Caenorhabditis elegans: one gene and its partners. The gene in region 3 interacts genetically with the main gene of each other region. Each region holds a gene or a part of one and is shown on either strand. Other genes may lie near its edges. The genes, in order: mab-5, bar-1 and pry-1.

The links.
Region 1: of pry-1 (region 3) and mab-5, changing one suppresses a phenotype caused by changing the other (phenotypic suppression), as found in Caenorhabditis elegans (one study listed by BioGRID).
Region 2: of pry-1 (region 3) and bar-1, changing one suppresses a phenotype caused by changing the other (phenotypic suppression), as found in Caenorhabditis elegans (one study listed by BioGRID).

What each region holds. Positions count from the first base shown.
Region 1 is NC_003281.10:7,775,633-7,786,897, reverse strand, and holds mab-5 (Homeobox protein mab-5), read left to right. Parts: upstream 1-3,443; 5' UTR 3,444-3,509; coding exon 3,510-3,653; intron 3,654-3,922; coding exon 3,923-4,005; intron 4,006-4,690; coding exon 4,691-4,794; intron 4,795-8,358; coding exon 8,359-8,507; intron 8,508-9,506; coding exon 9,507-9,629; 3' UTR 9,630-10,063; downstream 10,064-11,265. Other genes in the region: bath-15 (BTB domain-containing protein), read left to right, coding at 10,884-10,996, 11,039-11,265. UniProt on the Caenorhabditis elegans protein: Transcription factor that binds to the promoter region of the transcription factor lin-39 to repress its expression in Q neuroblasts and thereby direct left Q neuroblast (QL) daughter cell migration.
Region 2 is NC_003284.9:7,163,668-7,174,065, reverse strand, and holds bar-1 (Beta-catenin/armadillo-related protein 1), read left to right. Parts: upstream 1-3,440; 5' UTR 3,441-3,449; coding exon 3,450-3,517; intron 3,518-3,631; coding exon 3,632-3,758; intron 3,759-3,823; coding exon 3,824-3,919; intron 3,920-3,976; coding exon 3,977-4,081; intron 4,082-4,714; coding exon 4,715-4,861; intron 4,862-4,907; coding exon 4,908-5,032; intron 5,033-5,080; coding exon 5,081-5,195; intron 5,196-5,249; coding exon 5,250-5,462; intron 5,463-5,509; coding exon 5,510-5,755; intron 5,756-5,800; coding exon 5,801-5,914; intron 5,915-5,957; coding exon 5,958-6,101; intron 6,102-6,149; coding exon 6,150-6,275; intron 6,276-6,321; coding exon 6,322-6,417; intron 6,418-6,460; coding exon 6,461-6,692; intron 6,693-6,736; coding exon 6,737-6,825; intron 6,826-6,871; coding exon 6,872-7,028; intron 7,029-7,678; coding exon 7,679-7,914; 3' UTR 7,915-8,061; downstream 8,062-10,398. Other genes in the region: pgp-10 (P-GlycoProtein related), read right to left, coding at 8,180-8,316, 8,429-8,639, 8,681-8,785, 8,835-9,041, 9,301-9,390, 9,437-9,596, 9,648-9,788, 9,835-9,975 and 2 more.
Region 3 is NC_003279.8:14,171,946-14,183,374, reverse strand, and holds pry-1 (Axin-like protein pry-1), read left to right. Parts: upstream 1-4,014; 5' UTR 4,015-4,018; coding exon 4,019-4,123; intron 4,124-5,019; coding exon 5,020-5,082; intron 5,083-5,141; coding exon 5,142-5,231; intron 5,232-5,276; coding exon 5,277-5,414; intron 5,415-5,864; exon of another isoform or gene 5,865-5,937; intron 5,938-6,179; coding exon 6,180-6,361; intron 6,362-6,408; coding exon 6,409-6,540; intron 6,541-7,162; coding exon 7,163-7,391; intron 7,392-8,114; coding exon 8,115-8,295; intron 8,296-9,215; coding exon 9,216-9,638; intron 9,639-9,801; coding exon 9,802-9,901; intron 9,902-10,160; coding exon 10,161-10,251; intron 10,252-10,312; coding exon 10,313-10,339; 3' UTR 10,340-10,547; downstream 10,548-11,429. Other genes in the region: ZK849.1 (PDZ domain-containing protein), read left to right, coding at 305-397, 451-588; C37A5.11 (Very-long-chain 3-oxoacyl-CoA synthase), read right to left, coding at 10,589-10,730. UniProt on the Caenorhabditis elegans protein: Works in parallel with axl-1 in negatively regulating bar-1 signaling in vulval precursor cells and Q neuroblasts. Inhibits Wnt signaling, which affects tissue specific expression of Hox genes, egl-5, lin-39 and mab-5.

The DNA of each region.
Region 1 (11,265 bases), on a different chromosome or scaffold from region 3:
ATTTTCCTTGCCTCCTCTCTTTGCCTCCCGTTTTTCCTCATTCCGTTCTCGGCCTAACCACTGCATTTTTGAATTCCAGGTGGTCTTCCTTTTCGTTCTTTTTTCATTTTTTCTTTGTCGGTTAGAGATGAAAAGGATATGCGGTGACTAATAGGCGGAAAATTCAATGGATCACGAATCTGAAATTAAACGGTTTTTAGGGCAGCTAATATTGTTGTGCAGCAGATTTAGGGAGGAGGAAATTTAAATTCAAACATTTTGAGTTACATGATGTTGCACTAATTTTCTAATTAAAAACATTTTTTGAGACTTCGTCGCTTAGACTTAACGAAACAATTGTCGATATATCTTTAAAAAGCAGACGTTCTTATGTCAGTGTCCCTATGTGCCTATAAAATGCCTACAATATTCTTACCGGTCTTATGTGTTTGCAAAATTACATTTTCGATGTTTTCTTTCAGTAGGTTCAGAACGGAGATACCGGATCAGGCTTCGTTCGACAAGTTCTAACTATTTAGTCTGTGCGGCAATTTGCCACTGGCCATGCTCTGAAAATGATTTAAACAAACTTTCTATAACCCCAAATTTTATAATTTTGAGATATTGGAGATTTTAGTTAAGTTTAACCTTTTTTCATAATTTTGAACAACCGTTAAGAAACTATAGTTTTTTTAAGTATCGTAATGAAATTCGGTATTTTTGAGATTCTAGGTAGCACCAGCAAACAGTAAAATTTCAAATTAAATAATTTATATTCACATAGATTTTTGGCAAGATATGAACTGCTTTTAATAGCTAGAGAAATGAGTTTCTGATTAACATAAAACTTAATTTTTGATCTCGCCTTCTTGTCAATTTTATTTCACTTCAATTTTATTCACTTATACCTTATTTTTGAATTTATTGAAAAATGTAAATATATCAGAATGATGGTACCGCACCATTATAATATGTTTTGGCATTTTCTTTGCAAACTCTCGCGATTTCCTGTCAACGTGAGTGTAACAACTGAGTTTCTAGTATTTAACTCTTGATGTTTCTAGTTCACTTATAATAACTTTGGAAATGCAAACACATTAATTTTTCTGATTATTTCAAAGTCTGCTTCTCCTATTACCACCATCTCATTTTTTTTCACACTTCCCATTCAATTGAAATGAATGGAAGTGGGTGTGGAAAAGTCGAAAAAATCCTCGTTTTTTGTTCTATGCAGAAAGCATCAAGCATTAGCAATTGAGACGATTGAAAAAAAGCAAGCCGCAGAGCTCTCTCGACCAACCCGCAACCAATCGAAAAAATAGATGAAGTAGACTAATTATGTGGGGTGTTGATGGGCACGAGAATTAGGCGGAACCCACTGAACCAATATTCGGGATGATTTTGTGGGTAAGAATTTGTTTTATTTGTGAGAGCTGGGAGAATTTGAATGCTACTGCTCCTTTAGAAACAATATGTTTTATGGAAGAAAGTGTGTGTGAAAAAAAGTTGAAAGTGGTAACGAAGGTTTTAAAATTATATTTATGTACTCAAATCACAAATGACTCATTAAACGGTCGGAGTTAAGTTGTTATTTGATTTTCACTCTTTTTTGCATATTTTAATTATTTCTTTTGATTTTTCTATTAACTAGGTACATCTTCGGTAGATGGGTGCACAAATTTTTTAACTTTAATTTTTTCATTTCATGAAATTTTAATTTTCCGATAATTTTCCCATCTCCTCTTTTCACGACTAATCAATTTTTCAGATAGTGAAGGGCTATTATTATTCAACAGATACGTTTTTTAACGTTTTAATATTTTATCGGTTCTAGAAATTTTGATCCTTTTCATTTGATTCTTTTGATTACTTTGTTTCAAGAGTTCCAAATACATTGAACATACAAATGTCATTTTCTAACCTTTCTAATTTTCTGCAAGACTTCAATTTTTTCAAGTTCGGGACTTGAATAATACAGATATAGCATTTTGTTTTAAATTGTAGATTTAAATATATAATATCAAACAAATTTTTTAAAAAACCATATTAATTTTGAAAAAATGACAACTTCTAATCGAATTATTTTTTTAATTTATACTTTTGCTTAATTTCGTAAAATTTTTATTTTCATTCGAAAATTAAATGCCAGAACTCATTATTTGAATCATATTTTCCAATTTTCACAAATCTACAATAAGATGTCATCTCTGTAGGATAAGCCCTCTCAAATGCCATTGTAAATGACATCTAAACCAAATGCTAAATAGAAGCTCTTGACTTGGAATCTTAATAACTAAAATATTATGATTTCTACCATAAAATGCTACTCATCATTGCCTTCCCAGTCTTTTCATGCTCCTCCCAATTTCTCCGATTGGTTTCCCCATTTCCCGTCAACGCCCGGAGACTCCGCCCATTCACACGTTGTTCGCATCGACCAGTCGGCCGCCGGGGGGCCCCACCAATATTTCATCAGGCGCCCTCAACATATTTCAATTCTCCGATTGATTTCTCTTCTTTATATTCGAATATATATCTTAATTAATGCGTCAATGCCCCGTTTATTGGTTTTTAGTTACGGGACTCATTGGATACTTTATAATATTAGGTTCCAAAGAGAAACTGGAAGAGAGAGAGAAGGGCTTAATGTAATGGCATTAAAGATTGATAATGTGACAAATGATAAATTGATACGGTAATATGTAATGGACATTAGTCACTAAAAGATATTTATAGACCAAACCTCATGATTATCAAATAATGAGGAGTACTGTAGGGGTTTTGGAATGCTTATTTGGTTTAATGGAAGTCATTATTACCATTTTTATTGATAAACTTCTAGAGTGAAGGTAAAACAAAATAAATTTCATTAGACAATTTATTTCACTTTAAATATGCTCGATATTTCTTATCAAATGTCTAGCTTTAGAAATAAACATTTTATTTACTTGTAATTGTTTTTATTTTTAGTATTACTGACTTTGTCGAATATGTTGCTTTTAGAAAAAAACGTAATGTTAAAACATTCTGTATAGAAAATATTTCATAATATCAGAAATAGTTTAAATTGCAACTTTTGGTATTAAATAGTTATAGAATAAACGCTTTTAAATTGATCATTTGATAACTTTAAAACAATATTAATCAGTTGTTCACCATATATTATTTTTAACAGTTTTAAAAACTTGCCTTCTACAGCTTAATGTGTCATAATTAATTTTCATATTATTGTGCTTATTGATTTGAAAAATTATCTTATTTAGTGTTCACTGAGATGGGCTTTATACTTATGACGTTGAAACAAACCTGATATATTATTTCCTCAATTATTCAAGTTGTATTCTATATGGCACCATTTTTTCCTCCATCTTGCTCTCATTGCTCTTTCCATGCTCCTTCCGTGCTCCCTACTTTTTCTCTATCTTCCCATATTCTCACCCCTCAATTACCATTTCAATTTCAGAAATCCGCACCTTTTTGCCGTCTTCCATCACGCATCTACTCATCCCCTCAACTCAATCCGTCGGCAAATGAGCATGTATCCTGGATGGACAGGCGACGATTCGTACTGGGCGGGCGCCGGCACAACGGCTTCTTCTCAATCCGCATCATCCGGCACATCTGCTTCAGCATCGTCTAGTGCTGCCGCTGCTGCTGCTGCCAATAATTTGAAAGTGTGTGTTTCAGAGTTTAAATGAAAAATTTTAGGTTTTAGTTGAAATAAGTTCAAATATTTTGGGTCGAAAATTAATTACGGAAAATATGGGGAAAACCCTACAAAAATGAATTTCAATTTTTAAAATACTCTATAGTTTTCAAATTTTCCAGATTAAAAAATTAATAAAAAATTCATTTAAAAATATCAAGAAATATTCACCCTTGTTTTGAAAAACTTTGAAAGTATTTCGCAACGTCCCATTACTAAACTTCAAACTATTTTCAGACCTACGAACTCTACAATCACACCTACATGAACAATATGAAACATATGCTTGCTGCCGGTTGGATGGATAATTCATCAAATCCGTAAGTTTCTTGAAATAAAATTTTTGGAGCGAGAAAAAAATGTTGCGAAATAAAACAAAGTTTGCTGTAAAATTTTAAGATTTTTGCTAAGCGTTCCAGGTTTCACAACTTCCTTTTTAACATTGATTCAAAGAAAAATCAACAAGAAAATTTAAATTTCAGTTTTTGAAAGAAGTTCTCAGTCCGGTTTCCAAAAAATCAATAGTTTCATTGCAACAAAAACATTGAGTTCGTTTTTTTAAAATATGTCTTTCGGAAATGTTTAAAAGATTTCGGATTTCTTTAAAAAAATATGTTCACTCCAATTTTATTTACAAGCACTCTCTAATGCATTTGAATTTCAACATGAATATTTTATCTTTAATATTTTTCCATAATAAAAAAAAAGCAATTTTCGATCATCAAGCCTATAGCCATTTTCAAATGAAAACTCAATTGTTGTAAATTTCTCACAGGTTTTTCATTATCTTATTTTAATTAATGATTGAAGTTTTGAATAAGGGAACTTTGGCAGGATGCGTGCAGAAGAGCAACAAGGCAGGCAAAGGTCGCCTTGAAGACAGGAACAAAAACATATTAAAATGATGAATAAGAGTATTTGGAAATTCGAAATATTTTTTTTCCATATTCAAATAAGCGAATTAACTTACCACAAAATTTAGGATCCAACTTAAAATATTTTCAGATTCGCCTATAACCCACTTCAAGCAACATCTGCAAATTTTGGTGAAACTAGAACTTCAATGCCAGCAATCTCGCAACCAGTATTTCCATGGATGAAGATGGGCGGTTAGTTTACAGTTTCTCATTTTCACTTTTAAACTCGTATTTCCATTTTCACTATTTGATCTCATAAAAATGTCAAAACAAGACAAACATATGGGTCATTCTTCTACATTTTAATGTAATTTCGGATTGGTTGTTACTCGGTAATGACCGCCAAATAGGTGTGAAGATAGACATGCGCGCAAGAGGGGAGGTCCTAGAGAGAGGGGCACACTTTTTCGATTCTTATCTTCAGACTTTCATGGCGGTATAATATTAAAGAGAAAAAGAAGGAGAAAAACAAAAAATATGGCGACAAGTCGGTGTCTCTTTTGGATCCTTTTTCTCTAAATCGCGGCGGGAAAAGGACGGAATTTTTTGATTTATTTATGATACACGCTGGGTGGTTAACGGGGAAATGGTCATGAATAGGATAAAGTTTTATATTTTAATGGGTTTACAGTCAACACTGTTTGCCTAATGTTGCTAGTTATAAGTCTCAAGTTTTGGTAGTTTTTAGTTTTGAAAGTTCAAAGTTTCAGAAAAAAAAATCTACCGGCCTTTTAATATAAGTTTTGATTAACTTTTGGGTTATGAATTTTTCGAACAACTGCATGCAATATTCTATTTCCAATATTCCAAAACTCAGTCAAAATTTGAAACTTCAAAAACACTGCAGAAAACAATATCGATTTGAACTGTACAAAAATTTTAATGTCATTACCGGATTAGTGCATCTCATAAATGGTTGTTCAACTTTTTCCAGAACTTACTGACATGCCGTCCATTTTGATTTTACGTCTTAAATTTTATACTTTTTTTTAATTTTTGAAATATACAAAATACAATCTTTGGTGTCACAGTATAAATTCAATGCTCTTGTAATTATTTCCAAATTGATAATAGTTTGAAAAAATGTGTTTGATTTCATTCAGTTACTTTTAATTTCGATAATTTTTTCACAGTCAGTTCAAAACACGAGAGACAGGCTTCTCTGTTACATTTCTCTTTCTCTTCCTTCGGAGTTTTTTTCGTTCTCTTTCATTTTTTGACCGAAACCAGAGAAAAGCATGAGAAAAGAAGACGGAGAAAATGGAAGATACACGTAAATACGAGAGAATCTTTGTCTTGTTTCACTTTCTCTCTCTTTTACTCTCTCTGTCTTTCCCGAATCATTTATTTTCCTTGGTGCTTTGAAGTTTGCCGCCGTGCCAGAAAACCCACGAATTCGAGCCCTAAGCACAAGAGAAAGTGGGGGTCCGTATCGAAGTTGTAAATTGTCAATTGATTTATTCATTTTTGACCTCCTCCACAATCCGAACACAAGAACAAGTTGTACTAGGAACAACAACACCAACTTGTCAAAATGTTTGCGGTTCGTGTGCAGAGAGAGATGACCTGAGCATCGGATGTTTTATGACTTGATGCTGCAACAGCTGCTTCACAGGATGCTCCACGCAAAAGAGCAGAAACACGGGCGGTTTGTCATCACGTTCTTCTAATCCGATGATTTACGGTGGATATTCATTTGATATATAGCAGAGGGAAGAAGAAACGAAATTGACTGACAAGTTCAGACGACACCGGATTAGGAGGATCATACGGTGTAAAGTTGAGGCATCGTGTCTAAATTCCCTTCTGTCGTCTTATCAAAATATTATACGATAGACTGATAGAAATATGTTGCTTGGAATTTTCGCTTGTAAATTTTTAAAATGGAATTTTTCCCGTAATATTCAAAGTCAAAAAATATACATACCTGCACATCGCCTATTTTCTTCACTCATGAGCACCCCAAACGTTTAAGATAAGATAATAACGTTTTGACATGCTTTTTACAGTCGTACTCTTTGTTAAACCCATGCACCGTATTTTTCCTATTAGTCTGATACAATTTCTCAGAAAATTTCTTGTCTCTTTGTGTCAACTTTTCAATAGATTGTAAACAATCGATGATCATCTAGCTAAATTGTTGAAAAGATATATTGCGAACTTACAAAAAACTGATTTTCCGATTCAAATTTCATCTAAAATTCAGTATTTTATTGCACTAATCAAAATACATTGATTCTTAAACTGGAAACTTTGTCAAAAATTGACCATGAAGCTTCACCACATCACAAATTGCATGTAATTTTTCAAGATTATCAATATGTTACCATTTTCTTTTCAATGTCTTTTTCTTCTTCCGTTAGTCATTAATTTGCAATTAGTTTCTTTCGTTCATTCAGTTTTCCCCATTAACTTTTTTTGATTGATGCCCAGATTGGAGAAGTACAGTAATCCTCCCGTTTTTTCTCTCTGTGCCTCAAAACTTTCTAATCGAAACTGAAATCTAACAGAAAATAGAAGATTTCCCAAAAAATGAGAACAGGTTGAATCGAACAAGCGTTGTACTTCTGGGTGGTATTGTTTGTTGTTGAAGTTCAAATTATTATGAAAGGGAGTTTGAGCACGGATCTACCGTAATACAGTAGTTTTGATATGTCTTGTGTGTTTAGGGTTTTCCGGATAAAGAGGACAGATGGTTGAATTTCAATGAGGTATAGATGAACCAGGGTAGAAAAGAGTGAGTGTGTTGCAAAGAGAAAAATTGGAAATTGAAAAGTGAGAGAGAGTGTGAGCAGACATAGAGAGCGGACTACGGTAGTTTGAAAATACTAACCTATTGATTATTATGGTTTTGAAACATTTTTCTAATATTAGAGTAATTACAACTTGGTCAGCCGTTATTTTATCCATATCTTTTATCCAATAAAAACAAGAATTTATCCAAGAAAATATACCTAAATATAAAAACTCATTGCACTTTTTTTAAGAGCAATTGCATTTTTGTGTAGGTGTATATATGTTTCCGGTAGCTGGTTTAAAAATGTTAACTTCGAACCTTTGTTGTTTCTGCAAACTATATCTCGCGGGCCCCAATTAATGTTATTCCTTTTTATTCTCGTAACATTGTCGCAACTTTATACCTAAAAACCTTCCTTCACTGTATGCCGATAATTCTTATTATCTTAGTGTCTACTGTTTAAAATTAAAAATTCAAGGATCGTAATGGAAAAGTGGGAGAGAAAAAATGTCTAACTATATATAATATAAAACTGATTACTTGATAGTCCTTGAAAAATTTATATTCCATATTATACACAGTAATAGCTATTACCTTCAGCGAGTTTGTGATAATTTTCATTCTCCCTGTTGAAACATTTTATTAGAACATAAAGTTCCGCGAATTAAGCTTTCTCGATCATTACGCCATCGTTGTTAATTTATTAATTGTTTGGATATCATTTGGAAAGTGTGATGATCGAGAAATAGACCGCCCGGAACAGCAACTGTTATGAAGTCGGTGCGACGATAAGACAAAGAGAATTCGCGGCAATAATGAAATACGACATGGCTGGGGAACAACAACTGACCACGACCAATCAAATTGCGTCAGGGGTGGGATAGGATTACTGTATTTGATGGGGAAGGTTTATTTCTTAATTATTATTATTTGTTGACAGCTTTCGTTCTTAGGTGTTAATGGATTTGTAACCATGTAATCTTGAGACAGTTAGCATTTTTCAATTTATAATATTTCAGGTGCAAAAGGTGGAGAATCAAAACGCACTCGTCAGACATATTCAAGAAGTCAAACATTGGAATTAGAAAAGGAATTTCATTATCACAAATACTTGACTAGGAAACGTCGGCAAGAAATTTCAGAAACATTGCATTTGACTGAAAGACAAGTAAGTCTCACTACCAGATTTCACAGAAGTTATTTTAGGAAAATAATTTTGTATATTTTCTTGGCAATTACTCAATTTTCATAATTTTGGAAGAAAACCAAAAAATGTATTCGATTAAAAAAAATCTATTTGTATTTAAGCATTGTTGGGCATCACTTTCAAACAATTTTCTAACTTCTCGAAAAATCAATATTGTCACAAATTTGGCAATTTACCAAAACCAAAGACTAAACATTTTGGAAAAAATCAACACCAATTTAAAGTTACTCATTTTAAATTTCAGTATTTTGAACTAATGTTTTGTATAATTTGGAAAACCCACGCAACTCTAAATTTTAGTTTATATGGCAATAAACAAAATAACAACAGTTGTACCAAAATTTCTTGGTCAGACTTCTGAACACATTTTAGAACAATTATAGTATTTTTTTATTTTTCATACACTCAAAATATTGACAAAAAGTTTGTTCACTTCTAGTCTTTTCCAAAAGAAAATTCCAAAATTTTTTTGAGGTGGCTCGAATTTTTTCAAGCCTAAATTATCATAAGAACGTGTAATAACTACCGACAGATTTAATGCATAATGAATGATGATTTATTTTAAACAAGAATAGGGAATTATTCTTCAATTTTTTAAAATAATTTTTCTATTAAAAAGTTTTAATGGTTTTTTCGAAAATTCTTATTGCAAACACAATTTTAAAACCAAAAATTGTAGTTTCTTACTGATAATCTAGATAACAAAAAAGCAAAGTAGAATAATCACGTGGAGTCAAAAAGTCCCATTTTGCTTTGATCTTCGAAAAAATGCGGGAGAAGTGACGCAGACATCTGATCTGATTTCGCATGGTTAAGACTGTGCTGACGTCACAATTTTTCTGGGAAAATATTCCCGCATTTTTCGTAGATCAAACCGCAATGAGACAGCCTGACACCACGTGAATAATCTGTTTTGTTTTAATAAATAAGTATTTAATAGATACAATTAACTTTTTGCAGGTAAAAATCTGGTTCCAAAATCGTCGTATGAAACACAAAAAAGAGGCAAAAGGAGAAGGTGGAAGCAATGAATCAGATGAAGAATCAAATCAAGATGAGCAAAATGAACAACATTCTTCTTGATTTTCACTTTTTTTGGTCAGAATCTAATTTGAATTTCTTTTTACCTCGTTTCCGGTCGCTTTTCATTGTTTTGCTCCCATTTTTGTCATTTTCCTTTGATTTTTTGCATTCTTCATCGGTGATATATTGCTTTTAAACGACCTGAAAGGATTCCACGCCCTTTCGACGGGTCTTTGTTTTTATTGATTATTTCTCAATTTCTTCCTTTGCTTCTTTGGGATTTGATGATCTCAACCTTTGTCTCGAAAATTGTTTTTTACACACTGCTAGCCTATTTTTTGATTTTTTTTTCTTGAAAATTTTTCTACAGTAACATATCTGTTTGCTTTGATTTTTGGAGATGAAATTGATCTGTCATTATGTTTCACAGAGGACCTCACAAATTGAAGGACATTTGTGAAACGACACATATTTCACTGTGCCAGATGCAAAAGAAGATTGTTGATATACCATGTAGTTATAAAAAAGTGAACTGAGTTACGTCACACTAAAAAATTATATCGTCGATTTCTAATGAACATAAGAATCTGTAAAACTGGGCCACAAAGTGTGAATATGTACTGGATGATTGGTAGTAAAGCTTCATTGATTGCCTCCAAATAATACCTTAGTAACACTTGAAACTTTAGAAATAATTATATAAACCTGAAAATATCTTTTCTACAGTACCTCGCAAAGAAACTGCAGGTTTGAGATGTCCAATTTCTCGGAAAGTTGATTAGCTTTTTTAATTTTTTTAAAATTTAGTCATTGATTCACTGGTACTAACTAAATATCTCTGTGAAAATAAATGTATTTTTTGTTACTCATCTTTAAAAATTCGTCAACCAGGTTTATTCTTTTGCAAGTTCAAATATTTGTATATACTTTTGCAAGTTCAAATATTTGAGCAATATTGACTCCTTTTTTTATTAAGGAGTCAATATTGCTCAAATATTTGAACATTGGCATTATTTTCCGAAGTAGAAACATAATTAAATACTTTATGCGTTTTAGAAGGATCTATCGATGGTAAATAGTATAAATGCTGCATTTCGAACAAATAGTCAGCGAACTACGGTAGATGAGAGAGTACGCAATGAACATAATGCATTCTAATTTACGCACATTAGATTTTTTGTAATCTTTTTTTTTTCGTCAAACTTTGCAAAGTTATCGTTTTTCTAGCGGACAAATGACTTTTAATTTAAAAATTATTTGATTTTTTCGACTTTTTGAGTTTTAAAAATGTTTAATTTCAGCAAACTCTTCAAAATGGTCGCCGCAAGCAAGGAATTCGTGTTTCATCACACTTTCAAGGATGTTTCACAATTGGAAGATGGCGATTTTTTTAAAAGCCCCGAAGAAATTCATTACAATGCGGAATGGTAAGTCTTATCCAAGTCATAGATTACATAAAATATCTTTAGTTTCAGGTTTATATTGGTTATTCGCACGAAAGATCAACTGGAAGCGTACCTACACTGTGACAATGAGAAAGATGACAACGTCGCCTGGACAGTCGACGCCGAATTCAGCTTAAAAATAGCTTCATCATCAGGAAGTTATGCAATGAAATTCCAAAAGGGATGTTTCGATGGATTTGGACTGGGATGGAATGATTTTGTCAGTTGGGACTCATTGACAGAAGATTTTC
Region 2 (10,398 bases), on a different chromosome or scaffold from region 3:
TTGAATCACATTTAAAATTTTTATGGGGATTTGAAAATTTTCATCTTCTCACAATCAGTTTTATGATCATGATTTATAAATTGAAGGCGTTTGCGAATAAAATAATAATTATTCAAACCAGAATTTGAAACAAATAACTTTCTATTATGAAAAATGTGTGCACTTTAGGTTTGAAATTTTCAAAGTTTTCTTTTTTTTTAAATCATATGATCAAGTCTATATACTTTGGCATTCTTAGCAAAGCCGTGTCAAAACCCACTCCAATCATTTGTGCCTTTAACCCGACATGTCAAGCTTTAGAAAAAAATATAATAATTTAAGACGAAAGCAATATTGTATGCCATTCACGTAATTCGGGATCAAGCTCCAGTCTTAAAATGTTTTTGTTTTTGATCCTCTGCTTTGTTTGAAGTTTCAATCATTTTAATAATACATATCAGTTTCAAATGTGACAACATTCGTTTTAATCAATTGGTTACATCAAGAACTGTTGCCGTTTTTGCTATTTCTTTTTCTCATTAAATCCTCTTCATTTTCAATTTTCTCTCTGTCTATTAGTTCCACAAACGACCTTATCAATCTCCCAAACATTTAGCGTCGACAGTCGACACACACACACACACATACAAGCGACACTAAAAAATTGCACTAAAATGTTTTTACCCTTCTTTTCAATTTTTGCTTAGGCGCTAGAAGATGGAAAAGGGGCAATTGTAATGTACTCGCCGAGAAACAGAATAATGGATAATTTTTCATGTTGTCCTCGTGCCCTGCTGAGGGGATAGACAGATTGGACGCTACTGTCCGGTCGGTGATTCCTATCGTACTTCCCTCAAAAAGAGGTTCAAGATGGTATTTCTCACCTCCAACAATTATCTTCCTTACTTTCGATGATATCCTCATGTTTTATATTTTTAGTGTTCATTACGCGCGAAAAATTTACTGCAATAAAAAATAAACACAACAAAAAAAGGAGATGAAGACAGAAGGAAACATGATGAATCCTTCATTCTTATCGTCAATCTTTTTGCTGAAAAATGTCTATCTTTTTACCGTCTCCCATGAATTTTGATCTCCATTGTTTTTTTTTTCTGTAGTTCTTTATAATCTATAATAACAATCGCATGGTCACATGGGCGCGCTGCAAGGTGCGATTTGTTCTGAAATAACCGGGACACGTGGCCATTCAGAAATAATTGTAACAGTTATTTTATCCGGTTTTCATGAAATACCGAAATAATTTGTTTTGTTTTCAATCCGGAAAAACTAAAATTTGAAATGGAAGTACCAAAATACTTCTTCTATGAGGCTCTACGGCCAAAAATATTATATTAATTTTTAGGTAATGTTCCAAATGGAGTTTGAGGTGGCAATAATTTGAAGATAATATTCATTGCGTTTGTTGGTGTCCAACAAGTTTTCAAATAAATAATCACGTAGAATTTTGAAGAAAAAATTAAAGCACTTATTCTGACAACTGTATATTTACGTATCTACTTTTTTTCGAATTATTATATTAGTTCAGTTACTTCCAAATGAACACTGCAACATTCCACTGCGTCTTATTCTTTTCTTCAAAATTGATAATATGTATCATTATCATGTGTTAAAATTTTCATTTCTCGCAATCTTTACTTATCATCTTTTTAGAAACCCAACTTTGGAATATTGACGCCTGTATTGAAAAATTGGTGAAGGATTGAAAAATTTCAGTTAAAAAAAGTTATTTTTTTATGAGATCCTTTTTGCAATAGTCATAAATAACACACATTGCAAGTTAAAATAACTTTTGAGGTTAAAAATGTTTTTTTTTAGCACAAGACGGAAGCACTGATTTTTTAAATATTCCAATTTCCTGTAAGATTTTGAAATGTTAAATGATGTCTTTATGAAAGATTGCTCATAAGGAGAACACTGTTATCAGTAAACCCCCGACATGGAGCACCCGTTGCAACACTTTTCTCCATTTCTTAAACAAACTATTCTTCTTTTATTGCTTTTTCTCGACGTAATTTCACTTTTTTCCGGTTGTAAAATAATAATATATTATAAGTTTTTACAACTTAAAAAATAAATTGAGCAAAAACTTTTTCAGAATAGTATGAAAGATAGTTAATTCATTAATATAATTTTTAAGTTGTAGTCTTTATGACATTGTGTACATAACAAGTAAATGCAATTTGTCTGTGAAAGTGTTTAAATGTACAAACAATAGGCAACTCATACCCACTAAATGAGTCATTAACGTGTCCTTCAAAAAATCAAAGTTCATAGTATTGGAAAACAGGATAAAAAGTCATATTAATGATGATGCTTTTCTTCAGCGGAAATAAAAAAAAACCTTTTCAAAAGTGTATCATGAAAATTAGCAATTGATCCATTGCATGAAACAATAAAAAAAACATAATTTATAGTAGTGAACTCCAATAAAATTATAATAAATAACAATCAAAGTTTTGCTTAAATAATTTGAATGCCAGAAACTTAGCCTGAAAGAAAATTAACTTTTTTTTATCATTCACAGTTTGCAATTTTATCCTGCAATTTGAAAGTTAACACAATTTTTAAAAATTATTTTTAAGGTTGTACTCTTGGTTATTCTAATTTGCCATGATTAACACTTTCCTATTGACCAAACTTTTGTCTAAAATGAATAATCCTGATAACGATTCTGTCTAACGGAAACCAAATGATGGCTTGTTTGATTTTCCACTAGAAACCTTTTGAAAAACAGCAAATCTGGGTCGTTATGCTGATATGATATAAATGAATAAGAAAATAAAGAAGAATAAAAATGAAGGACTTGATAAATAAGAGTCGACTAATTATCCCAACTGATAATTTACGACTAAGCTATCCCATTTCTATTTTCTCTCCCAGCCTTCCCAGTTCTCCTCCCAAATACATCCTTATCAAAGTTGTTTCCCCCGTCTTTCCCGTTTGTTCATTTCAAACCCACAACTGATGACTGTGTGCCTTCTCGTTTCACCACAGATAATCATTATTATTGAAACATACCTCTAAATTTTATTAGCCAATTTCACACCTTTGGCTGCTCACTCACTGATAGGTGATTGAAAGCACGAAAGAAAATGGGTTGAATAATGCGAGCGGGACGGGCAAGGGGATGGGAATGATTGGGGGTGAAATAGAAGCCATCTGATATCAATAGCCCTTTACTCTAGGTTAGGTACAAACCGCTCATTTCTATTATTGCTTTTTCTTCATTACACAAGCCTTAGACTCTCTATCTCACTATTTCACCGCCCCATCACCACACACTCTTTCTTGTGCCCAGCAGGAAGATTTGTAATGTTTTCAAACATTTTGTTCATTCAGTTTTTTCACTGCTTTTTCCTATTTTTTCTCTTCATCCGGCAGACAAATCGTTTTTCTTGTTCGAATTGATTCATAAAAAAATATTTGGCTTTTTTTTTCAGAAAACTGGGATGGACCTGGATCCGAACCTAGTTATTAACCATGACGACACAAATTTATCAGAGGCATCTTTTACAATGTAAGTTTTTTTGATTGAACGAGCCTGCAAATTTGAGGAAAAGAAACAATTTATTTTGATGTTGGGAGTTATCAAAAAAAAAATTTTAAAACTGTTTTAAAATATTTTTTACAGGGAGCAACACACCTCGAGCTATTCGGATATACACATGGGCTCAACGCCCTGCACCGGCCACCGCAAGGTGGATATGTGGCGGAATCACAACTTTGATAGCGGTTTCCAAACAATGAATCACAGTGAGGTACGAGAAAACAGAGGAGAGATAGACACACACACACAACAAAGATTAATGTGTTTCAATTTCAGGCTCCATCTATTATATCATCTCTACATCCGTCATCGCATCTTTCCGGAATGTCATCCATGGCCGACTATGAGCCGATCCCCACTCTTTCAGATCAAGTAAGACCATTTCATATCAAAATGCGCTGGTGGACAAAATTGTTATTTTTCTTCCAGCAAAAACAAAAGTTTGATGGGATCACGCAAAATCAAGCGGATGGGCAGTATAACACAGTTCGAGCAATTCCAGAACTCACTATGCTTATGAAAGATCAGGATAATGTAAGATTTTTTTGTTCAAAACTTTTTTGAAATATTCATACTCATAATTTCACAATATATGAATTAAAAAAATCCTCGGTTTTGACCTATTTTTTATATTTTAATTATATTCAAACATCTTGTATTCCAACATGCAACAATGCTCGAAATGTTACAAATTTTTGGAAAACTTAGCAACTTATCAGAACTGTGACTGAAATTTTTGAAAAAAAAACTTTAAAAAATTAGAAACGTATGTCTACTATTACTATTATTACTATTACTATTACTATTACTACTATTACTGGACTACTATTATTTCATTTAGGTATAATATGATGTTAATTGATTTTTAACTTTCAATTACTCAAAATAAATTATCAAATCTACAGTAAGAAAAATATTTAGTCGAATTTATTCACTTAAATTTTCAAATCACAAAATCTGAAATTAAACTATGAACTTTTGATTTCAGTACTGATATTAACACAAAGATAAATTGGTTCTAATGCTGCTTACTGATGAAGCCGGTGTTTGAACTTTTGATTGTTTGTAACATTTAAAATCGATTATCAAAATTGAAGTATCTGGAAAAAATTTAAAAAAATTGATTGTTCTGCTGAAAAAAACATTATTCAAACAAAAATCTTACAGGAGGTTGTGCACAAAGCTGTAATTCTGATGCAAAATATTGCGAAGATGGAGTGTGACCCAATGCGACGGCAAAATGAAGCTCGAATTGTGGACCCCCGTGTTATATTTACACTGCGTGATCTTCTCCGTGACAAAGTTGAATTCCCGGTATAGCTTGTGCACTTGCACAGTTTAATACATCATATATTTTCAGAACATCATTCGTTGCACTTTGGGAACATTCTTCCACATTTGCAACCGACAGGAAGGAATTGATCTTGTCACTCGAGCGATCGCAGAACAACCTGATATAATTCCAAATCTTATTAGGCATATTGGGTAAGAAAGTTAAATTTCAGAAAAAAATCATTCAAATAGCTGTTACAGTACTTATCCAAGTTCAATATACAAATATGCCATTCTTACTATGCATTCGATTCTGTCCGATAAGCAGAGAGGCGGACAAAGTGTGATCATTGCGCGTCAACAAGATGCGATTACTGTAAGATTAAAGAAGAAAAAAAATTGAAAAAAAAAAATTTACAAAAAATTGCAGCATGTGACTCCGTGGTTAGAAGCGGAGAAATCAGAAAAACTTCTTCCAGTGATAGTTGACTTGATCAGAGTTTTGTGTGAAAAGAACACCGAACAGAAAATCAAGTTTGTGAAAATGGGAGGACCTCAAAAACTGCTCATGCTACTACAACACAGAGTTTATGAAAATTTGCTTTGGCGAACTACGCAACTTTTGAAAACATTTTCGAACTTTGTAAGAAATATTTGAAACTGAAGGATGTAATGTCTGAACTTTTCCAGGACGCTCCAAATCTTGTTGCTTTTGGTGGTCGCCAAATTCTCGCCAATCTTCTTTCACATGGTAGTCCGCGACTTGTACAATCAACCCTTGAAACTTTGCGAAATATAAGTGACGTACCAAGCAAAATAAAAGAAGATTTACTTTTGAAATCTCTTCTGGAGCTGGTCAATTCTCGAAATACAACAATCCGTCTATATTCTGCTCAGATAATGTCAAATCTAGTTGCAAACAACAGGCATAACAAGGTGCTTTTGTCAGAAATCAAGATATAGTATTAATTTTAATTCCAGGAGTTTATGTGTGGCAACAATGGGGTTGTCATTCTTGTGAGAGCTTTAACAATTGCCACCAAAGAGATGGGTGACTTGAGAGATAAAGAAGCACAGCAAATGGAGGATTATATTGTAATAACATTTAAATTTCAAAGCTTAACAATACGGTTTTCAGGAAAGCCTAATTTGCACGCTACGGCATCTCTGTGTTGGACATCCAATGTCAGATAAGGTCCAAGCATTTGTTTTCCGAGATCCTGCATTATTTCTACACAAATTGTTAACAATGAGACCAGTATTGCTGAAACACACATTGAGTGTAAGTCATTAATTTGAAGGGCTAATAAGAAATTGAGATTTAATTTAGCTCCTGCTGAAAGTTGTATCCCAACATGCCCTTCTTGCTCCATTCCGATCATGCCGAATTGGAGATAAAGGTTTTGTTGAGCAACTCATTCATATTTTGAGAGTGGCATGTACCCAGCTGAATGTGGTAAGTAAAAAGTCAACAAACCGACTAATAATTGTTGGATTTCAAGCAAGAATCTATCGAAGGTGTCCGCGTGAAAGATATCATTCATCTTTGTATTCAAATCCTGCGATGGATTACAAGAGACCAGGACATTCTCAACGAGGTATTAATGTTTTCAGGTTGAAAACCCAAATTTCAATTTATAGGTTGTTTTCTTCCTGCAAACTCCTGAAAATAGCCGAATGGGCGATGGTCATACTCTTCCAATTTTTGTATTACAAAAAGCCAACGTTGAAGAGAACACGAAATCATCGGCTCTGGCCTTGATTTATAATTTGATGCATCATGAGCAAATGGCAAACGTACTTGACAGAGATGACGTTCTTGTTAAAATGCTTCAAAATGTTCAAATGCAATCTCAAACTCACCCTGAATTAGGTAACGTTGCACACCAATAGACAAGTAGAACTGAAAATTTACAGCAAGTCTAGCAAATAATATTCTCAAGATGATGTATGAGAAGCGAGAAAAGACAAGGAATACTCTTCCAAGATACAATTCATATTTAGAGGTAACACAAAATGGGGGATAACTCTAAGAAAAAGTCAGTATTACAGAGCCAATTTGGTCACATGAGCATGACCACCCCACGAAGCGAAGCACTAAATAGTAGCGGTGAAGTGTGTGAGGGAGCTGGAGAGCAATGGTCTACACCTTTAACAGATGATACTATGATGGATTCGTATTGCAACAGCTCCGGACGAGATTCATCAAGTAAGATATAAGATGACAATTTAATTTGCTCTAGGAAGCTAATCAAATTTAACAAATAACTTTCGGCCATTTTGACATTTGCCGGATGTCAAAATTTTGAAGATGTCTTTAGAAAAGCAGTTTAAAATATAAGCTCAACAAAGATATATGTTCGATAATTTTCAAAGCTTCGGCAACACGATTGTTCGTTGCCGAAAACTTCCCGAAGTTTTTATATATTGCCAACTTTGATAAACGCAGGATTCCAAAGATTCTATCTACATACATAGTTTTGCTTACCATTGTGAGAGCGAAAAAAAAACTTAGGAAAATTGTTATAGATGTAATTTTTCAACTTTTTTAAAATAACAATCAAAATTTGACAATTATTCATTTTACATAGTTACCCATTTTTTGGAAGTAAAAATTGTTTAAATGTGAAATGAAGGTTTTTAATTAACGTATTTGCTCTATAAGTGGGGGTGCCAAAACTTTTTGAAAGAATACATATATTTCGTAATATTTTATTTCGGCTGTATGATTGTTTTGTTTTTTTCTTAAGATTATTTTACTAAACTTTTCACTGACGCTACTCCACCTTCGAATTGGATTGAGACAATATACTATTAAAGAAACTATGAACCTAGAACCAAAAACAAATATTTCTTCAGAACCATACAACTCACCAATGTACCATTCCCCACCAGCAATGTATCCAGAATACTCAATTGGACCTCCCGAGACGTACTTGGATCCCCATGCCACAGCATCTTGTTATCCGCGACCAACGCCTCCTCAATATAACAGCTATGACCGTAGTCCACCAGTTTACAACGACCTTCCATCAAACCCTGGTCCGAGTAGTCATTCGTCTGATTATTATCCTTCTAGGAATAGTCGATTTTAATTTTTTAATTATAACATAGACCCCCACACTTTCCACCACCCCAGTCGGATATTTGTTGCACATTCCTTGAAAATGAGATTCTAATTATTTGTATACGGGTTCATGAATTGGCATGCAAAATATGTTGAATAAAGTGAATTTTTATTGAATTTCAATTTCAGAAAGTGTGTCAGATAAGAAAATTTTTATAAAAATAACAACTATTATTTACAAATTATGAATTCCAGATTCAGAGTGTAGTTTTTGCATGCCAAAACAAATTCATTTACGTCATTTGATTCATTTCGTAGTAGATACCCTTCAAGTTGATAAGCTGCTCATGGCTACCTTCCTCGGCAATTTCTCCATGAACAATAACGTATATTTTGTCGACGTTTCGAATTGTTGATAAACGATGAGCGACTGGAAAAAAAACATTTTTCCCGTTAGAGATTTGCCAATTCTCGTGACGTACTGGCTGAGAGTTTAAACCGCATTAAATATTACTTTTCAGTTTCAATATACTAATTCTTACTTTGAATACACGTGCATTGAGTCTTCGTACTCCTCTTGACTCGTTCAAAAGCGTTTTGAACTTCTCTCTCGCTGGCGCTATCCAATGCCGATGTTGCCTCATCTAACAGTAGAACAGTTGGTTTTCTGATAATTGCACGGGCAATTGCAATTCTTTGTTTTTGACCGCCAGAGAGCTGGGCACCAAACTCTCCAACCTCTGTGTCGTAGCCCTAAATTGCTTTGTTTTAATGTGTTTTATTTTTAAACTCACCTGTGGTAAACTAGTGATAAAATTATGAATGTCCGCAATCTTTGCAGCTTCGATAACTTTATCAATTGTTGCTTCGCTTTCCATCATTCCAAAAGCAATATTTTCCTAAGAACAAGAACATTTTATTGTGATTTTGATAAATGGTTAAAGATACCTTGATGGTGAAAGAGAAAAGATCAGGTTCCTGGCCGACTTGTACAATGCATCTTCTTAAATAGGCCGGGTTTATAGATTTGATGTTGTACTTGTCAATGATAACAACACCATCCGTGGCGTTGTACATTCGTTGGAACAAAGAAATCACCGAGGATTTACCGGACCCGGAAGGTCCTACAAGTGCAATTGATTCTCCACCCCTGACCTTTAAGTTGATCGTTGAAATTCGATGCAAAAAAGGTACTTATGGGTTTCGTTCCCCTCAATATGTTTTCCATAATTTTTGATAGAGACGTGAACTTTTTTTCATTCTCAGGCTTAGGAAGATGGTTTCCTAAGCCTGAAAATGAAAATAGTATTAAAATAAACTTTCACGTGTGGATTAAAATTAAAAATTCAGTATTAAATAATTAAAAGAACATTTTGGGGGAACGAAACCCATAAGTATTAAAAAAAACACTGACCTTCAAGTTCAAGTTAGTCAACACTGGTACAATGGGTCTTGAAGGATATCTGAACGAAACATCCTTAAGACAGAGGTTTCCTTCCAGCTTCTAAAATAGAAAACTTGTATTTCCTTGGCTTAGTTAATAATTTTACCGGTCTTAAGCCTTCCTCTGATAAGTTATCCATGTCAACGGGTGGTTCTCTTATCACCCTCATAACGTTTTCAGCTGCAATCTGCGCTTTGGTAAAGTCACTGACAGATGCGATGAGTTGTGAGAAGAAATTGGCACCAAACTGAGTGAGCAGAACAACTCTTAAATGACATTTTCTTATTTTTATGTTTCTGCTGATCTGTTCTGGTTACCTCATATAATCAAATACACTAATTTCGTTTGCCAGCATCATCACTTTTCCAAAGTGAAGAGTAATTGCAATAAGGATATAGGTGAACGAGTATTGACATGCAAAAACAAGAGCAGAAATAAGGGATTGTTTTTGCATACATCTGAAAATCAAATTTTAGAACTAAATCAACCGATTACTGTACTCACTGTGATACTGGTTTTAAAGCATCGCAAAAAACGTTATAAAAATGAGATTGTAGATTGTATGCTTTGATTGTACTCATGTTTGCAAGCACCACGGACGCTAAGTTAGCAGCTTTTTTTTCTTCATCCACCATTTGTCTTTGTCTGAAATACACTTTTGAAACGGACTAAATTTAATGGACTGGCTACCTCTTCGTTCCTTCTCTGATTTGTAATATTCTGATAACAAAGTATGCTGGGAACTGGAAGGAACACAAAAGAGCCATTTTCCAGTTGATCCATAACGCGCAAACAATGGAGAACAGCGAGCAGACAACACCAGGAATCAACATATCAAGCTTTTGTTCCATAATTTCATTCAACGTAGACGACTCGTTGATCACTTTGTGAACCAGCCTTCCTGGACTGTTTCTTTCCTCGTCAAAGTATGCAGCGCCATGGCGAAGAACCTGAAATCAAGCTTCGAAAGTTTACCAAGAGAGTAGTGTATACCTTTCTAAACATTTCATTTCTCATGAATTTGCAGAAGCCATGTCCATAAAGTGCGATGAAAATTCGCTAAAATTT
Region 3 (11,429 bases):
TTCATCCTTATTGCAGTACCCCTTCCTACAGTACCCCTTCCCTAATGTGCCCTTCCCTGCAGTACTCCTTTACTACGGTATTTTCTCCCTACAGTACCCCATTTCTACAGTGCCCCCTCCCTACAGTACCCCCTTCCTACAGTACCGCTCTCTACAGTATCTCTCCCTGTAGTATCCCCTGCCTACAGTACCACTCCCTACAGTATCCTCTCTCAACAGTACCCTATTCCTACATCACCCTCCCTACAGTATCCCTCTCCCTACAGTACTCTCTCCCTACAGTACCCCTACTTCATATTTCCAGCTCCGTGTGAACGACCGTATCTTGGCGATCGATGGGACCTTCGTGACCAACACCACCACCCACGCCGAGGTTATGGAAATGCTCGAGAATGAGGTGAGTTTCGCATTAGAGCGCACTTGTAGCCTTATATAAATTTGAATTTCCAGAGCGCCAAGGATTTCATCTCGCTGATTGTATCGCAATTCGACCCGACCAAGTACCACGAGGCCCATCCAAACGGGAAATGTCACAAATTTGTTAGCACACCAATTTCGGGAAAAGCCGATTCGGGGGAGGATGTCTGAATTGTCTTTTTTTTTTTGGTTGCAAAATTTATTTTTCTCTAATTCTCTCCCTCTCGTACAGTTTATAGACTTGTTTGTGTGTCTCTTTTCGATTTTTTTTTTATTTCTTTTTGTGTTTTGCCGCCAATTTTTTTCGTTCTTCTCATGATTACCCCCCTCTGAACCTTTTTAAAAAATAAAAATCAGCGGCTGTCTACGTCTCAGGGATATCAAATGAGACGGAATTAAAGTGGCTCATTTGAGTTTTATAGGTTTTCGGGGAGAATTGATTCCTGGGAGCTTTTCCTCCACTGCTTTTCATTGCTTTTTTGTTGTGGGAACACTCTGCAACAAATTTGGTGGTGAAAACCTGAAAATTTAGCAATTTTCTCATTGGGGCGCATTTGCAACATACCAATTTGAATTTTCAATAGGAAAACTTGTTTCTCTTGTTTTCACATTAACTTCTATCGATTCCTTTTAAATTTTCGCTGAACCGTGATTTTCCAGCAATTTCGCGGGAATTTGAATTTTTAGTTCGAAATTGCACTTTTTTGGTTTTAGCAAAACTGGTAAATAAATATAACAGTTTAAATTGTTGGTTTTGTTGGAAAATCACAAGAAAAATCGATTTTCCAGTTATTTTCTCATTGGGGCGCGTTTGCATTATGCGGTCCGCGAGAATTTAAATTTTTTAAAAAGAAAACTTGTTTTTCGAATAAGTTTAAGACAATTTGCGCTCAAAAAATAGCTAAATGCGTGAAAATTCCAGTAAAAACTCAGTTTTTGCGTATTTTCTCATTGGGGCGCACTTGCAACGTGCGGTCGGCATGAATTTGAATTTTCATAAAGAAAACTTTGTTTTTAGGTGTTTTAAAACACAACTTTTAGTTAAAAATGGTTAGTTGAGTTCAAATATCTTGGAAAAAACATTGTTTACGTATTTTCTCAATGGGGCGCACTTGCAGCTCACGGTCAGTGGAAATTCAAATTTTTGAGTTTAAATTTTAGTTAATTAGGTTTAAAGAAAACTTTCATTTTCAAAAATAACAAAATGTGCTCAAATACCCCCTCAAAATCAAAATTATCCTATTTTTCTCATTAGAGCGCACTTGCAGCTTGCGATCGGCGGGAATTTTTTTTTATATTTTTAAGTTTAAAATTGAGTTTTTCGGGTGTTTTGAAATGCGGTTAATTTAGTTCCCTTAAAATTTAAACGAAAAAAAAAAGGTTTTTGCATACTTTCTCAATGGGGCGTACTTGCAGATTGGCGGGAATTCTAATTTTCAACTAAAAAAAACCGAGTTTTTTGCATACTTTCCCATAATTCCCCTATCATTTTCTTCATTTCTAGACCGAAAAAAAAAAGATTTGTGAAGATCTCCGCCAATAAAAAACATCAAAAAGTGCCGCTTCTTCAAGGTTTTTCACAATTTTTGGCGGCGGGGAGAGGAGGCGCAGCAAGTCGGAGTGGACGGCGGGCTGGAGAGAAATATGAATAAATCGACAAGACGCAGGCACGTGTCGGCGAACATCAAAGAGTCGCTGGTTTTGAAGAAGGGGGCGCCTCCATTCTCACACCGACCGCCCGAGAAGAAGAGAGAGGAGGCACTTCACCCCCCAATTCTCTTTTCCTTCTCCTTTTCTCTTTACCCCCCTTGATTTTCCTACCCCCATCTTTTTCCTAAATCCTTCTGTTTTACCCATTTTCCTTTTTAGACCATCTTTGGGACTATAATATTTGCTTTGAAAACTGGAAAATTATATGAAAAATCCAGTTTTTAAATTTATTTTAGGCTCAGTTTAGGCCAAACTATTTTAGGTCTTTTTTAGGCGTAAAAATTTGAAAATTTTTAGACTCGGTTTAGGTCAAACCATTTCATGGCCAAATTTCGGCTTGAAATCTAAAAAAAATTACGGTAAAATCTTATTTTTTGAAATGTTTGAAAACTCAAAATATTCCAAGAAAAAAAAAACTAGTTTTACAACATTTTTCTGGGTTTTCTTAAAATCCTTGTTGGGCTAAGAAATTTTAAACTAAGAAATTTTGCTGAAATCTTAAAAAAATTGTGTTGTTTGAGGTTTACTGGCCAAATTTTAGACTTTTTTTTTAATGGCGATAATTTCAAAAAAATCAAGTTTTTACAGCGTCACATTTTTTAAACATTTTTTAAGCTTAAACTATGAGATAGCAAAAAATTGTCTACTAACAAAATAATTACCGTAAAATTTCCTACATTTTATTAATAGCCAACTTTTCGATTGCTTCAGGCTCCACAGAGTTATAACGGTTTGAACTCAAGAGGCGCTAGGCTCCTTTTAACTTCAAACCTCTATAACTCTACAAATAAAAAAGCTAGCAAAAAATTGTTAACTATCAAAATAATTATCATAAACTTTCCTACATTTTATTTATTGGAAACTTTTTGATACCGTCATTTTCTGCAGAATTACAGGATTTTGAACTTGACCTCTACGCCTCCCTTGGCCCCCAGTTTTAACTTAAACCCCTATAACTCTGCACACAATGGTGCTAGCAAAACATTTGAACTGACAAAATAATTGCTATAAAACGTCCTACAATATGCTAGTTAACAACTTTTTGATGGCATCAGTCTCCGCAGAGTTACAGCTATTTGAACTTGACCTCTAAGCCTCCCTTGGCCCCCAGTTCCAACCTAAAAGCTCCATAACTCCGCAGAGAGCAGAGCTAGCAAAAAGTTGTCAACTAACAAAATAATCTACGTACAATTTTCTACATATATTCAATTTAAATTTTTCTGCTAGACCAACTTACCAGCAAGATCAACGCCCCTAAAGTTAGGGGCCCCTCCCGGTAGCCGGTCGAGCGTCCCCAGTAAACTCTTCCGGGGGCACCCGAAACAATGTTCACTCATCAATCGTTGTCATCTTTCTGGAGACATGTGTCTTATCTGTGTGTGTGTACTACTACTCTTCCCAATACACCCCATTACTCTCCGTCACTATCTCTGCGTCTCTCACCCCCGCCACTCTCTCGCTCTCGCCCATTCATTGAGTAAGCGAGGGGCCTCATTCCTTGATTATCAGCCACTGATAGGAACAATAAGACACCCATAGTTGTTCCATTTTTGCAATTAGAGAGGGAATAGTGACGCTTATAATATATTGTATATCCTATATCTTATCACAGTTTTTTTTTTTTTTTTTTGTGTATAGTTTTGGCCTATTTTATAGGTTTTGAGGGGGTCAAACTGCTAAGTTTAAATAAAATTTGTTTAATTTTCAGTAAAAGCGTCATTAGAAAAGTTTTGAACAAAAAATTGAAAAAAAAAATTTTGGCAAAAAAATTATTTTTTTAAAATTTTTTCAAAAAAAAATTTCCCTCGATTTTTCAAGTTTTTCTCTACTTTTTTTTTTGAATATTCTCTTATTTCAACATAATCATAAAATTCACCTCCTTTTCAGGTGCATGGAGACCCATCTCGGTTGGGCGCGAAGCCTGGAGGCCGTTCTATCCGATCGATCGGCACTCGACGCGTTTCAGGAATGGCTTATTGAGTACTCCTCGCCTCAGGTAACTTTTTTTTTGGGATTTTTCTGCGAAATTTGGATTTAGCTTGCCGAGAGCTTCAAAATAAGTATAATCATGACATTTTTACGATGATTTTGAAAATTTTTAGGTTTTGGCGCAAAATTTTTAGATTTTCTTTTGCTGCGGGACCCAAAGTTCCAATATTTGAAATTTTTACTTGTTTTCGGATGTAGCTTGTCAAGAGCTTCAAGATGAGTATAATTATGCCTAGGTTACTTCAAACTTGAAAGAATCTGGGTCTCACCGCGAAGGTTATTACTGTAGTCCCAAATTTTCGTGGCGAGACCCTAATTTTTCAACCTTTGCGGAACCTGGACATCATTATACTTATCTAAAAGCTGACAGCGAGCTGACTTCGAATTTTATAGTTTTGCAGGCGAAATCATAATTTTGTGAGAATTTTGACCAGTTACAAGGAAAGTCTGCGATTTCACGTTTTTTCGAAAATTTTTTGCGAAAATTTCAACTTTTTTTAATTTTCGAGATAAATTTCTCATAATTTAATCAATCTTTTCATGCGCTTTTGGAAAAGCATAATCATGACCACGTTTCGCAAAACGTTGGGTCCCACCACGCAACCCATGGGGTTCTGTAGTTGTTTGTCGTTGTGGGACCCCATAAAAATTAAATTTATTGAAATTCATACACAGCATCCTGAGAGCTTTGAAATAAGTATAATAGTCTAGGTTCCGTCAAAAAAAAGTTGGGTCTCACCACGAAATCTACTACTGTGGCCCCACATTTTCGTGGCGAGACCCAATTTTTTCAAACTTGACGGAACTCATGCATGATTATACTTATTTCAAAGCTCTCAGCAAGCTAAATTCAAATATTGACTTTAAATTTCCGAATTCTCTAAAAAAATAAGAAATTTTCAGTACCTCGACTTGTTCTTCGCAATCCGAGCATACGAACGAATGGCGTTGGAGGGAAAACCGGAGGTATTGATTTTTTTGCAACTTTTTTGGCAAATCGGGCAATATTTATCTATTTTTTTTAGAAATCCCAACTTTCCAAGTCAATATACTCGAAATTTTTGTCCTCTCGGACCGGAAACTGCGAAGCAATTCCCAAGCATTTTAGGGCTCCGGTAAGCTTTTCTTAAAATTTTTTAAAATCAAAAATTAATTTTTGGATTGGTGAAAAACTACGTCATGGCACCGAATTAGAGGATCGGGTATTCAGTCATTGTTCGAATTTTGTTCAAGAATTTTTAAGACGCCAACACGAGGAGTTTGTGGGCTCCGAAGAGTTTATTGAGGCTTTTAATAAGGTAAATTGTTTTTTTTTTTAATTGTGAAAATTTGAATTTAGCTCACTGAGAGCTTTAAAATAAGTATAATCATGCCTAAGTTCCGTCAAATTTGATAGAAGTTGGGTCTCACCACGAAAACCTACAGTAACCCAGGATTTTCTTGGCGAGACCGAGGTTGTTTGGAAAATTTACAGAATTTGCGAAACCTATGCATTCTTAATGTAATATCGGCGGTCTCAGTTCAGATTTTCAGAATTTTGGCGAAAATTTTAGGGTTTTCCAACAATTGGGTCCTACGACGAAATTTTTCCGGTGCCTAACTTTTTGAATTTTGATTCTTTGCAATTTTTATTTACAAAATTAAACTCAATTGACTGAAAGCTTCAAAATAAGTATAATCATGCTTAGGTTCCGTTAAGTTTGAGAAAAGTTGGGTCTCGCCACGAAATGTATTACTGTAGCCCCAAATTTTCGTGGCGGGACCCAACTTTTGTCAAATTCAACCAAACCTAGGCATGATTATACTTATTTGAAAGCTCTTTCTAAGCTAAATTGAATTTTTATAGTCACAGTGTGAAAAATTTGAAAACCGAGAAGTTGGGTCCCACCACGAAAGGGTTACTGTAGGTTTTCGTGGCGAGACCCAATTCTAATAGAACCCAGACATGATTATACTTATTCGAAAGCTATTTTTAAGCTGAATTTGAATTTTAGCATTTTACGTATCTTATCGCAATTCTGAAAAAAATTTCCAATCCCAAAAACTAAAAACCCCAATTCCAGATGTCATCTACCACCGCCGACCAGCTCCCGGGAGGCTCCGCCCACCATTCATCACACCAAAACACCATGAGAAGGTCGTCAGGCACTACCTCCCGTAAAAGTGCCGCACAAATCGCCACCCAGCTCACAGCTGAGGCCCTCCTAAAATCGAAACACGACAGGCACAGCAAACTTGGAGAAACGTAAGTCGCCTACCTACCCTACCTATTTAAATTTGAATTTTTTTTAGAAAACTTGAGAAAATGTACCCACCGACACGTCAACCATACGTATGCAACGCCACTACCTCACACAACGACTCGGCTGTCAGCTCGACGTTTTCTGGGGACACGCCCGAAGCCCATAGGATGCATAGTAATAGGTAGGTGATTTTGGTTAATGTATTTGAATTAAGCTTGTTGAGAGCTTTTAAATAAGTATAATTATGCCTAGGTTCCGATAAAATTGGGTCCCGGCACGAAAATCTACACTAACCTTTTCGTCGTGAGACCCTACTTGGCAGTTTTCAGATTTTTTACTTTTAAATTGTGATAGCTGAGCTCAACTTACCAAGAGTTTCAAAACAAGCATAAACATGCCCAGGTTCCGTTAAAATTGGGTCCCGCCACGAAAACCCCGAGTTACTGTTGGTAGGTTTTCGTGGCGAGACCCAAATTTTTTCAAACTTAACTGAACCTAGGCATTATTATACTTGTTAGAAAGCTCGTTACAAGCTGAACTTTAATTTCAAATTTTTAGGGTTCAATAAATTATTTCTGAAAAAAATCGCGACGAGACCCAAATTAAGCTTATTTTTTTGAAAATTGTATTTTTTTGAAAACCTTAAATTTTAGTGTTGAGAGCTATTACTACAAAAAAACCAAAAGTTTTCGCGGTAAGACCCTAAAATTTTGAAAATTTTCAGGCCATGGCATGATTATACTTATTTTGAAGCTCTCAGTGAGCTTATATCAAATTTTTATCTAAAAGTGTCTAATTTCCAGACTCCGCCATATCCGAGACGAACAAGCCCGCGAGAATCACGGTACCATGACACTGCCACGTGTCGAAAAAGCCAGCGTCGATGGTCAGCAATGGGATCATTCTTCTGAATCAGGAAGAAGAAATTTTGCAATGGAAATCACCAGAAAACTGCTTAGGCATATTGATAAGGTTAAGCTAAATGATGAGATGGAGAAGAGGATTGACGATATCGAAGAGTGTCGGTATACGGTAGGTTTTTCAGTTTCGAGTTTTAGGCTTTGAATTTGTAAAATTTGAAATCAGCACGCCGAGAGCTTCAAAATATGTATAATCATGACTAGGTTTCGCCAAGTTTGAAAAATTTTGGGTCCCACCACGAAAATGTGGGGTTACAGTAATACCTTTCGTGGTGGGACCCACATTTTTTAAAACTTGACGGAACCTAGGCATGATTATACTTATTTTGAAGCTCTCAACAAGCTGAGTTTGAATTTGTAATTTTTAAAGTGAAATTCAAAGAATTTTAGGGTCCCACCACGAAATCGTACTTCGCGGCAGGACCCAACTTTCTTCAATTTTGCAATTTTGCTTGGAAACTTATAAATTGGAGCTAACTTTGCTCATAGCTTCAAAATAAGTATAAACATGTCTAGGATCCGTTTTATTTAAATATTCCTGGTTTAAGCGTACAGTAACCCTAGATTTTCGTGGCGAGACCCACTATTTTTCAAATTCAACTAAACTTGAGCATGATTATACTTATTTTGAAGCTCTTTACAAGCTGAGCATGTTTTTTTAGTTATCTAGTCACCACTGCAAAATTTGGATTTTTTGGGTCCCACCACGACTACAGTAACCCTGGATTTTCGTGGCGAGACCCATTATTTTTTGAATTCAACTGAAATAGGGCATGTTTATACTTATTTTAAAGCTCTTATCAAGCTGACTTCAATTTTCAAATTAATTTTTCAGACAATCGACATGGTAAACGGCACGGAGCCCAACGACGATCTGGGGAAAATCGATGAGGACGAGGAGTTGGATGATTATCTGAAAATGAAAATGACAGATGATTCCCAAAAAGGATCAACAAATCGATCACCTAAAGGCCCAGCAGGAGAGCCCAACAAATCTGGAGAAGGATCGAAAAATAGTGAGTTCCCATGCTCCGGTACCATATGTCGGGTTATTCTCATGAAGGGATTAATATTACTAATAGGTGTTAGAATTGGAATAGCTGTTAGTAAACATCTTAATGACAAAAATATTTGTCAGGGAACGTTTTTTTTTAGTTCGAATCTATGAAAATTAAAAATAAAAAAATTTTTGAAATTTTTTTTGAGCAAAAACTTTTTTCTCCAAAATTAATAAATTTAATTATTGAAATTATTAAAATCACGTCTGCCTCATTGAGAGCTTCAAAATAAGTACCAACATGCCTAGGTTTTCTTGATTTTGGGTTCCGCCACGAAAATGGGTGTTGTAGCTTTTCGTGGTGAGAACCAACAACTACAAAATGACATTTTTGCTTTAAAACTACAAAATGCAAGCTCAGCTCACCTAGAGCTTCAAAATAGGTATAATCATGGCTAGGTTCGGTGAAATTTGAAAATTGTTGGGTCTCGTCACGAAATGTATTACTGTAGCCCCAAATTTTCGTGCCGAGACCCAAAAATCTTCTAATTTGACGAAACCTAGGCATGTTTATACTCGTTTTAAAGCTCTTGACGAGCTGAAAAAAAAAATTACTAAAACTGTAAAAGTTTTAAATTTTAAATATCTTTCGTGGTAAGACCCAAATTTCTGAAATTTCAAAAAAAAATCCAGTATTTTTATATTTCCAGTCAATTTTCAAACTCAGCTCGTTCAGAGCTTCAAAATAAGTATAATCATGCCTAGGTTTGGTGAAATTTGGAAATTTTTGGGTCTCACCACGAAAGTTATTACTGTAGCCCCAAATTTTCGTGGCGGGACCCAACTTTTTTCAAACTAGACGGAACCTAAGCATGTTTATACGTATTTTGAAGCTCTTCATGAGCTGAATTCAAATTTCCAATTTATAATATTTTCCAGCCACCCTCTCCCCAACCAATCGTGCTCCCGCTCAGCTCCACAACACAATTCGGGTCCCGAGACGAAAAGATTACCCCCGGGACACCTCGGCTTCTCTAAAATCTCATCGTCACCATCAAATCGACACAAATCGAATGATGAGCCAATCAATGTGCGCTCCATCGTACTCCTCAGCCAGCTCCTCCTACAGTAGGGACTCCTTCGCGCCGGCGCCCACTACCAGGGTGAATTTTGCTCCGGGGAGCAGCAAATCGAGTCAATTCTATGATTCTTCGGGAATTGGGTCTATGGCACCGTCGGCGTTCTCCGCCACTTCGTCACTGGATTATAAGGATCGGAGGCAGCACAGAAAGGCTCCAACGCCTAAGAAGCACTCGAAAATTGGGAAAAATTTGTCGAATTTGATAACTATTAGCTATTTAGGTAAGGTTTCATTTTTTTATACAAAAAAAAGTGAAAAAAAAAATTTTACAAATTTTTTTTTGAAAATTTTTTTGAACTTTTTTTTCAGATTTTCTATGTTTCTAGGGTAGATTTTACCCTAAATTTTATATTTTCTAACATTTTAACTCAAATTTTTTTCCAGGAACCGATAAAATCCCTGTGGTAACACATGTCCCTAACGATGGACCAATGACGTTGGCGGAGTTCAAGAGGCACTTTGCTCTGCCAAATGGAGCACATCAGTGAGTTTTTTTTTGGGTTTAAACTGGGAAAATATTGATTTTAGGTTGATTTGGAAGTTTTTGGAAAATTTTGAAAAAAAAAATTTTTGCTCAAAAATATTTTTTTTTGGAAAAACAAATTTCCAAAAATTTTCAAAAATTTTTTTTTTCAAAATTCTCAAAAACGTTATTTCTCAATTAATATGGTATAAATGTTCCCAAAATTGCATAAAACCATAAAAATGTACTATTTTCCTCCCTAAACCCCAGAAATTTCCAGACTATTCTTCAAAACCGAATGTGAGGATGGCTCCGCCCCTTTTCAGCTTTTGCTCATTAAAGATGAGCATCACCTTTTACCAGTCTTTGAGGTAATTATTAATCTTATTATTGGACTGCAAAAAAAATTCCAAAAAAAATTTTTTTTTTCAGGGTCGAATTGCCGCCGAGCTCCGATAGTGGGATTATCGATTTTTGAAAACGATTTTTTTTTTCATTTTTCTGAATTTTAATATCATACACACAACCTACAAAACAGAACACAGGTCCATAAATTTATTTCGTGATCTTAAATTTTTTTTTTGAATTTCAAGTTTTCAAAAAAAAAATTTCAAAAATTTTTTTATTAAATAATATATGTATATTTCAATAAAAGTGAACAATGAGATGTAGGAATGTTGAAAAAACCAAAAAAAAAATCAGGAAAAATCAAGGAACACTTCGAAAAAATGCGTTCTGCGCCAACATATGGATCACCCGGGTGTCCTTTTTCGGGTTCCGTCGCCCGTCTATGCAAAGGTACATGGACCAGAGAAGTACCATTAGTATGGAAATGATGACGTAGGCAAAGCTGAAAAAATTTGAGAGTTTTTGGTGAAAACTAGACTTTGAAAGCTCGAAAATTGACAGAGTTACGGGGGTTTTGAAGGATTTCGTGGTAGGACCCAAATTTTGCATAATTTTTGATTTTTTCAAATCAAAACATTTTTTTTTGAAGAAAATTGAATTCAGCTCTCCGAGAGCTTTCAAATAAATATAATCATGCCTAGAATCCGTCAAGTTTGGAAAAAGTTGGGAAAACCTACAGTAACCCATTTGTGCTGGGTCCCAACTCGCTCAGTTTTGAAATTTTTATTTGGAAACTAAAAAATTTAAGTTTAAATCGCCGGGAGCTTTTAAATAAATATAATCATGCCTAGATTCCAATGAATTTGAAAAAAGTAGGGTCCCACCACGAAATTGATTACTGTAGCCTCAAATTTTCGTGGTGGGACCCACATTCAGCGGAATATAGGCATGATTATACTTATTTCAAAGCTCTCGGCAAGATACACACAATTTCCACAATATTAACATTTTGGGTCTTATCTGGAATACATTACTGTAGGTTTTCGTGGTGGGACCCGAAATTTTTGAAATTTCTTTAAAAATTATTCAAACCATGACATGATTATACTTATTTTAAAGCTCTAATCCTCCTGATTCCAAATTTCGTAATAAAATTCAAAAATGTTTTGGGTCTCGCCACGAAATCCTGAAAAATCGCCGA